3 linked regions of the Oryctolagus cuniculus genome follow. The protein of the gene in region 2 interacts with the protein of the main gene of each other region in a pairwise test. Links are inferred from orthologs where the notes say so. Each region holds a gene or a part of one and is shown on either strand. Other genes may lie near its edges. The genes, in order: MRPL11, CAMK2B and ACOT7.

What was found.
Region 1: the proteins of CAMK2B (region 2) and MRPL11 interact in binary tests that used the Homo sapiens proteins (3 or more experiments, as listed by UniProt). The two-hybrid records come from large-scale screens. The link is inferred for Oryctolagus cuniculus from reciprocal best matches to the Homo sapiens genes CAMK2B and MRPL11.
Region 3: the proteins of CAMK2B (region 2) and ACOT7 interact in binary tests that used the Homo sapiens proteins (3 or more experiments, as listed by UniProt). The two-hybrid records come from large-scale screens. The link is inferred for Oryctolagus cuniculus from reciprocal best matches to the Homo sapiens genes CAMK2B and ACOT7.

What each region holds. Positions count from the first base shown.
Region 1 is NC_091432.1:5,444,157-5,447,894, reverse strand, and holds MRPL11 (large ribosomal subunit protein uL11m), read right to left. Parts: upstream 2,514-3,738; 5' UTR 2,422-2,513; coding exon 2,299-2,421; intron 2,082-2,298; coding exon 1,892-2,081; intron 1,821-1,891; coding exon 1,661-1,820; intron 349-1,660; coding exon 243-348; 3' UTR 80-242; downstream 1-79.
Region 2 is NC_091447.1:51,754,958-51,758,695, forward strand, and holds the start of CAMK2B (calcium/calmodulin-dependent protein kinase type II subunit beta), read right to left. Parts: upstream 2,634-3,738; 5' UTR 2,476-2,633; coding exon 2,411-2,475; intron 1-2,410. UniProt on the Homo sapiens protein: Calcium/calmodulin-dependent protein kinase that functions autonomously after Ca(2+)/calmodulin-binding and autophosphorylation, and is involved in dendritic spine and synapse formation, neuronal plasticity and regulation of sarcoplasmic reticulum Ca(2+) transport in skeletal muscle.
Region 3 is NC_091438.1:161,106,027-161,109,764, reverse strand, and holds the start of ACOT7 (cytosolic acyl coenzyme A thioester hydrolase), read right to left. Parts: upstream 2,473-3,738; 5' UTR 2,151-2,472; coding exon 1,981-2,150; intron 1-1,980. UniProt on the Homo sapiens protein: Catalyzes the hydrolysis of acyl-CoAs into free fatty acids and coenzyme A (CoASH), regulating their respective intracellular levels.

The sequences.
Region 1 (3,738 bases), on a different chromosome or scaffold from region 2:
GTTTGTGTCCCAGGAGCCGCGTGAAGACCCCTGCCCACCCCAGGGCTGCCTCCCTGGGTCCCAAGACAGAGGCTGAGAATGGTGACAGAGACATTTATTCAGGCCTGACGCAGCCATGAGCGTAGAAATACATAATCCAGTCAGGAGAGTCACAATGAGGGTGGCGCGGTCGCCCTTCCTCCCCCTCGGCACAGGCCCCGCCCCAGCCGTTTGCCTCAGAACTGTGGGTGTGCGAGGCCGGGTCACTTCTTGGCGGCCTCTGCCTGGGCTGCCAAATCCGCCTCCTTCTGGGCAGCCAGGAACGCGGCTCGCTCCTTCTGGAAGGCCGCCAGCTCCTCGGCACTGAGGCTGCAGGTGGAGAGAGACAGACGGACGGACAGACGGATGGAGAGATGGACAGACGGACAGACAGACAGATAGACAGAGACGCACAGACAGGCAGACGGACGGACGGACAGATAGACGGGCAGGCAGGCAGACGGACGGACAGAGACGGACGGACAGGCAGGCAGGCAGACAGAAACGCACAGACGGACAGACAGACAGATAGATGGGCAGGCAGGCAGACAGACGGGTGGACGGATAGACAGAGACGCACAGACAGGCAGACGGACGGATGGACAGATAGACGGGCAGGCAGGCAGACAGATGGACAGATAGAGACGCACAGACAGGCAGACGGACGGACGGAGACGGATGGACAGGCAGGCAGGCAGACAGATGGACAGACGGATGGGCAGGCAGGCAGACGGACGGACAGAGACAGACAGGCAGACGGATGAATGGACAGGCAGGCAGATGGACGGACAGAAGGTGGACAGGCAGACAGACGGGTGGACGGGTGGTGAGCAGCTGCCACCCGGTTCTCGGGGCCCGTGTCCCCGTGTCAGAGTCCAGCTGCTCGGCCCCCAGCTTCCGCACTCCCTCGGCCAGAAAAGCCGCCCGCGGCCTTTTATCCTCTCACTAAATCGCTACCCAGCCGGGCTCCAGTCCAGTTTAGCCGGCCTCGCCCTGTGCCCCAGGAAGCCGGGGGGGCTGTGCCTGTGTCTCCCCCAGAGGACCGGGCTTACTCATCCCTGCGTCCCAGCAAAAGCTAAGACGTGAGCAAGGCCCGGTCCCCCTCTGCCCCAGGCTGCGCCCGCGCTTCCGGGAAGCGACCGTGAGCCGCGGGTGGGGCCTGACTCGGCGGCAGAGGACACGCAGGGCTCCTACTCCCCGGCCCGCCCCCGCCTGGGCCCGACACCCCCAACTCCCTGAGCTCACCTGAAGCCGAGGAGCAGGCCTCCCTCCTGTCGGCCTCGGGTCCACACCCTCCCACCCTGCCCGGGGGCTCTGCACCCAGGCCCCCCGCCCTTCCCGACTCCACGGAGATCTCCGTCCTTGGACCGTCTGCCCCAGCCCTCGGTCTCTTCCCGGCTTCTGCTCAGATGTAGCCCCTCCCCTCACGGACACTCCACGCCCAGCCAGCAACCCTCCTGGCTGCTCTGGTGACCCCGGCCCCAACACGCACCCGTGGGTCCGCGCGGCCGCCACACGGACGTGGGCCAAGCAGCGCTGCCCCCGCCTAAGCCGCGTCCCACATCCAGGACGACACCTAACACGCAACAGGTGCACCGCCCCCCCCCCCCCCCAGAACCCGAGAGGCCCCCTCCGCACTCACTCTTTGACCACGCGGATGCCCAGTGACCGCGCAGAGCCGATGATGGAGCGGACGACGGAGGACAGCGGGACGTCCAGCAGGGCGAAGGCGTCGTCCTTGGCTTTCACCAGCGCGATCTCATACACGTGCTTCAGGGTCACCAGGCCCGCCACCTCCTGCCCTGGGAGCAAGGGGCACGCGCGCTCAGGCGCTGGCCGCCGGCTCCTCCCGGGCGCCCGCCCCGGCCCTCACCTGGCCGCCGCGCTCCCTTCTCGATGCCCGCGGCCGCCTTCAGGAAGTAGGACACGGTGGGCTGGCCGATCTTGATTTCAAACGTCCTGTCGGGCTTCACCAGGATCTTCGTGGGCAGGGGGATGCCTTCTTTGATGTCCTTGGTCTTCTCGTTGAACTCCTTGCAGAACTGGTTGATGGAGACGCCTCGCTGCGGGAGCAACACGGCGGTCAGCGGGGCCGGCCGCGCCCACGCGGCCCCTCTCCTCCACCCACACTCGACTCCCGCTCTCTGCGCCACAGACTTCTTTGTGTGTCCCCCCCACGGCCTGCTGCGGAGGCCAACACGCGGGCTGGAAGCGTGCACGCGGCTCCGCGACCATCCCGGCCCTCCGGCGCCCCGCGCCGGGCTCCGGCCAGGAGCGCACCTGACCCAAGATAGGGCCCAGGGGGGGCCCGGACATGGCCTGGCCGGCCCGCACGATGGTCCGGATCACGCCGCCGGCCTCGGGCTTCCTGAGGCTTCGAGAGACCCGGCTTAGTTTCGACATGCCGCCGGCCGTCTGGCTGTGGTTCACCTCAGCGAGAGCTACGCCCTGGGCGCCGCCATCTTGGGCCAGAGGTCAAGGGGCCTCACGAGGGGCTAGGGCAGGGGAGGCCAACAAGCATCAGCCTGTTTCAGTCTTAACGGGTAAGGCCGGGAGAGTAAGAGAAAGGGAAAAAAAAGAACCTCCCCACTGGCCTGCTGCAGAGAGGGGGAAGGACCCGAGCGGCTTCGCTACGCGCATTCTTTCAGGAGCGCATACAGGCACTGCCTCGGACAGCTAAGCACGACGGCGGGCCCTCGGTGCCGCAAGGCATTGTGGGTGCGGTAGTTTTAAGGCCCCTCGTGCACGTCAGGCGACCTGGTGCGCTGGAGCGCCGTCTGCTGGACATCGTGATAACCGCACCTGTTGCTCAGAGCGGGCGTCCGTACTAAATCCTTGTTTCTCATCTAGTTGGGGTCGGGGCTGCGGCGTAGCCGGTAAAGCCGCCGCCTGCAGTGCCGGCATCCCGTATGAGGGCCGGTTCGAGTCCCGGCTGCTCCACTTCCGGTCCAGCTCTCTGCTATGGACTTGGGCCCTGCACCCACGTGGGAGACCCAGCTCCGGCCATTGCGGCCGCTTGGGGAGCTAACCAGCAGATGGAAGACCTCTCTCTCTCTGTGACTCTGCCTTTCAATAAGTAAAATGAATCTTAAAAAGAAAGTGCCTCTCTCATAAATTAATTAATTCATGGTGGCCGGGGGGAGCAGGCTGGGTCTGATCCATCTCTGTGTGCCTGACCTTCATTCACAAGTTTATTTACTAATAAAGAAACAAATCCTTCCTGGGTGAAGCCATCAGGTAGCTGACCGGCACAATCAGGGAGCCCAGGGCGAGCCGGCGGCTGGCAAACTCCACCTGGGGTCAGTGGAGGCACAGCTGGGATGATTCTGATTACCGGGAGGGACCCCTGGAAATGCCTCAAGGTCGCGTGTGAGGTTCAGAGGCAGTGGAGGCGAGGGGGCGGGACCAGGGGTTGGGGGCCAGGTCTTGCAGCCCTGGGTGGGGGAGGAAGCCCTCGAAGGGTGCTGGGCATGCATTTGCATCATATTTGCATTTTGAAAAGGTCACCCTAGCTTGGAGGAGGCAGGCAGAGGGCTGGGCCAGGTGGTGGTGGCGTGGCCGGGAAGCGATACTTAGAAGGTTGGCTGGAAGACGTGTCCAGCAGATCCTCGCCTATCTTCGTGAACAGAACCCGTTTCACGGACGGTGAACCCGGAGCACAGAATAAAGGGCGGGGACTTGAAACTCTTCATTTATTTGTTGTTTTTATTTTACTTGAAA
Region 2 (3,738 bases):
GAGCAGGCAAACCACCGGCACTTCTTTTGCGAGTTCTGGTATTTTCTGAATTTTGAAAAATCTACAAGATGTAAAGCAAGCGAGACCCGCACTGCAGGGTCCACACCGCCCAGGACGTCCCTGCTTCACTGTGCGCCTGCCCCTGGGGTCCCTGGGCTCCAGACAGCTTCGGCTCCCCACAGGGCTGGACACTGAAGGGCACACCCATAGCCCCAAGGTGGGCAGGACCCGTGGCACGGCCCCCAGGGCACACCCAGGAGCAGAGGCGGAGAAAGGACAGGGCAGGAGAAGGAGAAGCCTTCGAGCAGCCTCAGGCCCGTGGCCCAGCCCATCCACCAGCAGGGACAGCGGGCAGCTCGGCGCGCCTGACTGGGTGCCAGGGGCTGCAGCTTTAAATAAACTTGGACCAGTCCACCTGGGCCGGGAGGCAGCACCAACTGTGCCCCGGCCAGCCCTGTCAACAACTAGCCAGCATGGCCGCTGCGGATCTCGCCTGCACGGCCCCGGCCCCCTCCCCACATGCTGCCTGACCCCAGGCATTCCCCTGGGGCCAGACAGGCTCAGCTGGGCTGAGCTGACCGATGCTGGCTGCGACGCCCCCTCTTGTCCCAAGTCGCTGCAGGCCCCTCACATCGCACCCACTCCCTTCCAGCCGCTCCTCCTGCCCACCTGGGAAGCAGTGAGCGATTCCAGCCCTCACCTGCCCCTCCAGGAGAGTCAGCCCCAGACACCTCTACTCTCAGGGTGGCGGCAGCTGCCGATAACCAGTTGCTGTTGGGACGGGAGGCTGGGGGCGGGGGGACCCAGCCAGCCCGAGCTGCGGCCAGGGAAGGTGGCCATGCCACAGGGAAGACAGGAGACATGGAATGAGCCTGGGCTGGGGCCCCCGACTCGCCAGGGGCTGCCCTGGCAGATGCCCAGGGTGAGGGCCTGTGTGATTCCGGACACAGTGGAGGAGAGGCCACGAAGGTCCCTGGAAGTGACCACTGCCCTCTTCCCGGGACAGCCCGCCACCTGCCTGACCCACAGCATAGAGACAGCGCCGGGGACACAGGGCAGCGGGGGGGTCTGAGCACCACTGGGTCAGACCCAGGGCTCCCACGAGGACCCCCAGCCCACCCAGCACCCTCTTCCTCTCTGCCTCCGGCCCAGCCTGCCCCGGAAGGTTGTTCCTTCCAGGGCGGCCCTCCACAGCCAACAGGCCTCCGCCAAGGGGTCCTGAGCTGCCCCTATCCCCTCACTTCCACCCTAGGCCGCCCCCAGGCCTGCTTGACCTGGGGTGTCCCCACGTGCAGAGAGAAGAAGGAAGGCGCGCAGCGCACCCCTCCCGCGGCTGCTCCACAATTATCAGCCATCAGCGTCCCTCGCCCACCACAAGCTTCCACCAGGCGCTTTTTTAGTAAAGGGGAAAAAAGGATCTGCCGCTGCAAGTGTAAGAGGAAATCTCGCCAGCGCCCCCGCCCGCAGGAGAGCTGGGGGAGGGCGGGGGGGGGAGGGGAAGGATGGGCCCGGCGCGATCCGGAGTTCTGAAGCCAGCCCAAGGGGTGCCAGGCACAGCCACCTTGGTGCGCCGAGGGGGACCTGTGGGGCTCCCTAGCCTTTGACCTGAGGGGCAGAGCGGCACCTGAAGACCCCAAAGCAGGACATGGCTCGCCTGGCGGAGCGCACGGTGTGTCCAGGGGCTGGGGCACCTGTTCCCAGGAGGCCCCACCTGCGCCTGGCCATCACGGCCCCTCGCTGCCTCCGGGAGCCCGAAAACAACGCTCCCAAACCCAGCCCCAGGAGCCGCCCGCGCGGGAGCCCTGCCTCACCCCTTCATCCCCACCCTTCATGACCTGACCCGGACTCCCTGACCTCGCCCCCTCCTCCAAATAACTGTTTCCAGAAGAATCTAGGGAAAGATCCTCCCTGGATCGCCGGGGGCCCACGCAAGGCTGCTCCCACGCCGGCAACCCGCACGGAGGGGGCCGCGCAGGAGCAGGCGCGGAGCGGGTCCCGCCGCCCCCGCCGCCGCCGCCCGGTGGGGGTGGGGACAGCGCGCCGCGCGGGGGCGACCCCCGGGGCCGCAGCCGGCCGGACTCGGCGCACCAGGCCCCGCGCCCGCCCCCGCGCGCCCCTCCTCGGTGACCTCCCCGCCGCCAAATGCGTCACGTCTGCCCCGCGCTCGGGGGACACCTGCTGCCGCCCCCGCCGCGCGAGTCCAGAGCCCCGGGCCCCCGGGCGCCGCGCTGTGCGGCGCCGGGCCCGGGGTCGGGGTCGGGCAGCGCGGGGCCGCACGCTCCGGCCGGGGCCCGGAGGAGCCGGGGGCGCGCCGGGCCGCAGTGCGCCCGGGGCCGGCGGCGCCGAGGCTCCAGCGCCCCAGGGGCCCGGCCCTCGGGGGCCCGGCCAGCGCGCGCGCCTCGGCTCTTACTTGCCAATATCCTCGTAGAGCTGATACTCGTCGGTGAAGCGAGTGCAGGTCACCGTGGTGGCCATGGCGGCGGCGGACGGGAACGGCGTGCGCTCGGCTGCGCTCGGCGGCGGCGACTCCGGCTCCCGCTCGCGGGCACGGCGGCGACACGGGCGCGGGCGCGGAGACACCTCGGCTCGCGGCGCCGGGCGGGGGCCGGGCTGGGCTGCGCGCGCGGCGGGCGCACGCGAGATCTGCTCGCTCGGTCCCCGCCAGGAGCGCGCCGCACACCTACGCGGGGAGGCGCGGGAGCGCTGTCACCGCCGCCGCCGCCGCCGCGCCCGCCCCGCCTGCTGCCCCCAGCACGCGCCGCATCCGCGCCCCGCACACGCCGCTCCTGCACTCGCGCCGCGCCACACCCGCGCCCTGCACCTGCACCGGGCCCGCGCCCTGCATTCAAACCGGTGTCCTGCACCCGCACCGCGCCGCACCCGCGCGGTGCCTGTACCCTGATACAGCACGCTAGCACGCACGCCGCTCCTGCACCCACATTGCACCGGCTTCTGTGCCCCACTCGGGGCCCTGCACATGCACCCACACTTACAGCGGTGCCTTTCACCCGCACATGTGTCTGTCGCAATACATGCGGCCGCACCATGAACCTGGACACGCACCTATGCCCTGCACCCACACTCTGCACCCACATCATGCCCACACACTGCATCCGCACGGCCACATTCTGCACTCCCACTCGCACCCTGCACCTGCACGCACACCTGGACCCGTGTGCTGCCCACATGCACATCCTGAACCCACACCTGAACAGGGCCTACACCCTGCACCCACAGCCTGTGTCTGTATCGCGCCCCCCACACACACACCTGTGCTGCACCCACAGCCTGTGTTCTGTGCTGCACCCACACAGTGCCTGCACCCATGCTGGCTCCAGGACGGCTCTCAGTGGGAGCCCAGCCTCCTCTCACCACTGGAGGCCCCCAGGCTCTGAGCAGAGGACACTGAGGCCCGTGTGGGGGCCCTGGCTCCTGTGCTGCCCTGACAGGACTCACTGCTCCACCCCTGGCGGGGGGGTGCCGCCAGAGCCTCCTGCTCAGGCTCCCTGGGGCCACACGCACGCCGTCCCGTCCCCTCTGCCGGGACTGCCTGGCGGGCACGTCGCTGGGGCACTAGAGCCAGGGACGACAGGATGGCCCGAGGGTGCTCCTGCCCCGTGCTGCCCGCCCCTCGCTCCCACACTCCTCCAGGACCGGGGGCTGAGGCCAGGGCACCTGGATTGGAGGTTCTGGGAGGTTTGGAGTCCAGGTCAGAGGGACAGAGGCTGCTCTATTAGT
Region 3 (3,738 bases), on a different chromosome or scaffold from region 2:
GAGCGAGGGACAGAGGCGTTGCCAGTAACCGCTGCCCTCGCCTGCCTTTAAGGCCTCTGATCCTGGAGCATCCTGCCTGCAGCACGGCGTCGCCCTGACCGTCTAGAATGACAGGGGCGTGGGCATCCTCGCCCTGCTGAACCGTGACCCCCTCAGGGCAGGGTCTCAGGGTTCCCCGGGGTCAGCTTTCCCTCCCAGCGCTTTGCTCCTTGGCAGTGTCCCGTGGAGTCTTGTTAAATTCATGGGCCTGGTAGGATGTGTCGGGCCAGGAGGCTCCGCTTTCAATGCAGGGCATCAGCTCGGGTATCCTTAAAGGCTCCCCACTCCAGCGCGTCCACTCTTCAGTGTCCTGGGGCTTCTGTGGGTCAAGCCCACCTGACCACAGCCCTCTGCCCAGCACCCTCTCCCGGGGCAGGCGTGCCCTGCGCCCGAGGACCACTTCAGCCGGGCACCCTGCTCACAAGACCTCACGGCCAAGCACCCACTTCAGAGACGGTGCAGCTGTGAACCAGACACGCGAGGCGGCCCGGCAGGTGCAGCGCCCGAGAGAGTGCACATGCAGGCTTACGGGAGCATCTAAAGCCTTACAAGAATCTGTTTTCCTGTTAGTTGGAAAAAGACAATATATATATACACCCAGGCTACTCCCCACCCTGAAGAAGTAAACACGCCCAGCCTTCCGCAGGCAAACAAACTCTTCATTTGGGAGAACGGTGGGACGAACACTGCGTGGCCCTCCCAGAACTACTCAGCCCCCGGGATCCTCAACCGCTGGCTCCACACAGCGCCAGCACGGAGGTCCCGACCCTGCAGCCTTGCAGGGAACCCAACGAGATGGAGATGAGCTCAGGCTCCTTGCAAACAAGGCAGCCCGGTTCCGGGATCTGGCTGCGGGCCTGTCTGTCTGCCAACATCAGTCACTTTCATTATCTTTATCCCTGCCTCCCCCCACCACCACCACCTGAGAGGACAGCACACAGCCAGGGGCACAGGGCTCCCCCATGCACGCTTCCCCTCGCTAGGAAAGCCAAGATTGACCTTAAGACCAACAAAGGGGTCTCGGCCAAGCCAGAGAACGGGGAGCTGGGGGCAGGAGCTCCAGGCTCCCAGAGAACCAGCTCCTTCGGGAAAGTAACTGGCCCAGGGTGGACACGGCTGGGACCCCAGGTCAGCGCGATGCCCAGCGTGGGGAACCCGGCTTGGTCCCCCCAGCAGGACAGAGCTGGCCTCGCCCTTGTCCGCCCGCACTGATGCCTCTGCGCCCGGCGGCCTGCCGGTCACCTTGAGGCTGCCCTCCCGTCCTCCTGCCTGGAGACCAGCAAGCTCCCACCCCCCGCGGCCGCTGGGGCCCGCATCTCTATCCCGACACGCGGGTGTGGTGGGGGTCGCCGAGACGACTCTGCCTCCTATTGTGTGAGATGCTTCGGGCCCGCGCAGCTCCCTTTCCTTAGCGGTAAGCCGCTCCAGGCCAAGAGCCCTGATCGGTTCTGGGCCTCCACACCTGCCCTCTCCGAACCCGCCGCGGGGGGCTGTGGGGCCGGCGGGCGCAGCCCCCTCCCTAAACCCACGGCGAGCGGCCTCCGGGGGGCTCCGGCGCCGGTCCTCCACCCTCGCTTCCGCACTACAGCCCAGGGGGCGATCCCGAAGCTCCGGGGGCCCAGAGGGCATCCCGGGCCGGGGTCTGAGATGTCGGGTGCACCGACCCCCTCGCCGGTCCTGGCCCCGGCCCTCTTCCTCCCCCCAAACGGCCGGTGCTGGCGGCAGCGCGGCCGCCGCCCTTGAGATGCGCCGAGAGGTGGTGGGAGGAGCCCCCCGGGCCGCGTCTACCTCAGCATCGCCGGCGCATCCCCGCCGCCGGCGGCCCGGGCCCCGAGACGAGGGCGCGGGGACTCGAGGGGCGATCCCCCGGCGCCGGGGCGGGGATGCCGGCGGCCTCGGTGGGCGGGGGTCGCAGACCCCACGGGTGGGCCCCTCTCTTACCGGCATATCTGAATGGCGGACGGCGTGTCGGCGGCGGGGCCCGACATGCTGGCGGCGGCGGCGGCGGCGGCTGCAGGCGGCGGGAGGAGCGCGCAGGTGTCTGGAAGGCCCGGCGCGGAATGAATGAGCCCGGGCGGCGCCATGGAGGGGGAGGGCGGAGGCGGAGCCATGGCGCCGGCAAGGCGGGGCCTGCGCGCGGGGGGCGAATCGAACGCGGCCTCCCCGTGCGGGCCCCGCCCCCGCTCGGGCCCCGCCCCTTTCCCCGCCCCCCTGGCCGCCACGGCCGCGGTGGGCCCGCGTCGGCGTCCGGTTCTGTCGGCGGAGGGGGCTGCCCCGGGGCGCGGCTTCCAGAAGGTTCGACGGCAGTTGGGCGGGGTCGGCCCGCGGGCGGCGGCGGCGGCTGACGGCCCTGCAGCCTGCGAGCGCCCGGCGGGCGCGGCCCGAGTCGCGCAGCTCGGCGGACGCGTCGCTCGCCTCCGCGGCGGGCAGAGTCGGCGGGGCGTTCCCTGCGGGTCGCGCCGGCGATTCGCTGTCTGCGCCCCGTGCTCCGCGGGCCGGATGAGGTCAACGCGGAAGGCCCGGCCCGGCGTTCGGGCCTGGAGCCGCCCGCCGGGCGCTGCCGCCCTGCACGGCGGCGCGCTCTCGAGTGGGCCGTGAGAGGCCGAGTGCCGGCCCCGGGGGTGGTGGCCGCTGTGGGGAACACGACATGGGCCAGCGCGGGCGGATAGGCCGTGCCCGCGCCGCCCCGCCGCTGTCCAGGCGTCCGGCTCCGGGGCCCACGGCCGCAGGGAGTGGGGGCCGCCCGGATGCACGCGGTGTCCCCGAAGTGAGTCCAGAACGAGTCTGGGGTCACAGAATCCACCCAAAAAACCCCCCGGGAAGGGTGGTCAGCTCCACCTGCGGGGGTCCGGAGAGCTTTTTTGTTTGTTTTATAAGATACATTTTTATTCACGTGAAAGAGTTAGAGGCACAGAAACCTCCCCTGCGCTGGTTCACTCGCCAAGTGGCCGCAGGGGCTGGGCCAGGCCAAAGCCAGGGGCCTGGAGCGCCACCCGAGTCTCCCACGAGCGCGGCATCTGCTGCTTTCTCAAGCACGTTAGCAGGGAGCCGGATCGGAAGTGGAGCAGCCGGGACTCGAACCCGTGCCAGCACCACAGGCTGTGGCTTAACCAGCTGCGCCACAGCGCTGGCCCAGTACACGTAGTTTTCCCACATGAAATAAGTTTACCCAAGCATGAAGAGCCACGAAGCCTAGTTAAACACCACATCTTCCCAACGTGGACCCTGAAATGCAAGGGAAGAGGGGACCCACTTTGGGGGTTCAGGAAGGAAGTTTCGAGATCCCCGAGGGGAGGCGATGGCTAAGCGCAGCCCTCCTGACCTCTGCTGGAGTTTATGAGGTTATGACTGTAAGGAGGTAGCAGGTTAATAACTCTTCCTCCTCCTGGTTCTCTTCCCCACCCGTCATTCTGTTTCTTTAATCCTTCCCAGGTGGATGCAATAGAACAAGGAATTGTCCAGGCCCTGCCCTGTTTGCATAGGTGTGCTCGTCCAGCTGGACATCAGAAGTGCTTCCTGGGGCCGGCACTAGGGTGTAGCGGGTAAAGCCGCTGCCTGCAGTGCCGGCATCCCACATGGGCGCCGGTTCGATTCCTGGCTGCTCCACTTCCGATCCAGCTCCATGCTCTGGCCTGGGGGAGCAGTAGAAGATGGACCCCTGCACCCGCGTGGGAGACCTGGAGGAAGCTCCTGACTCCT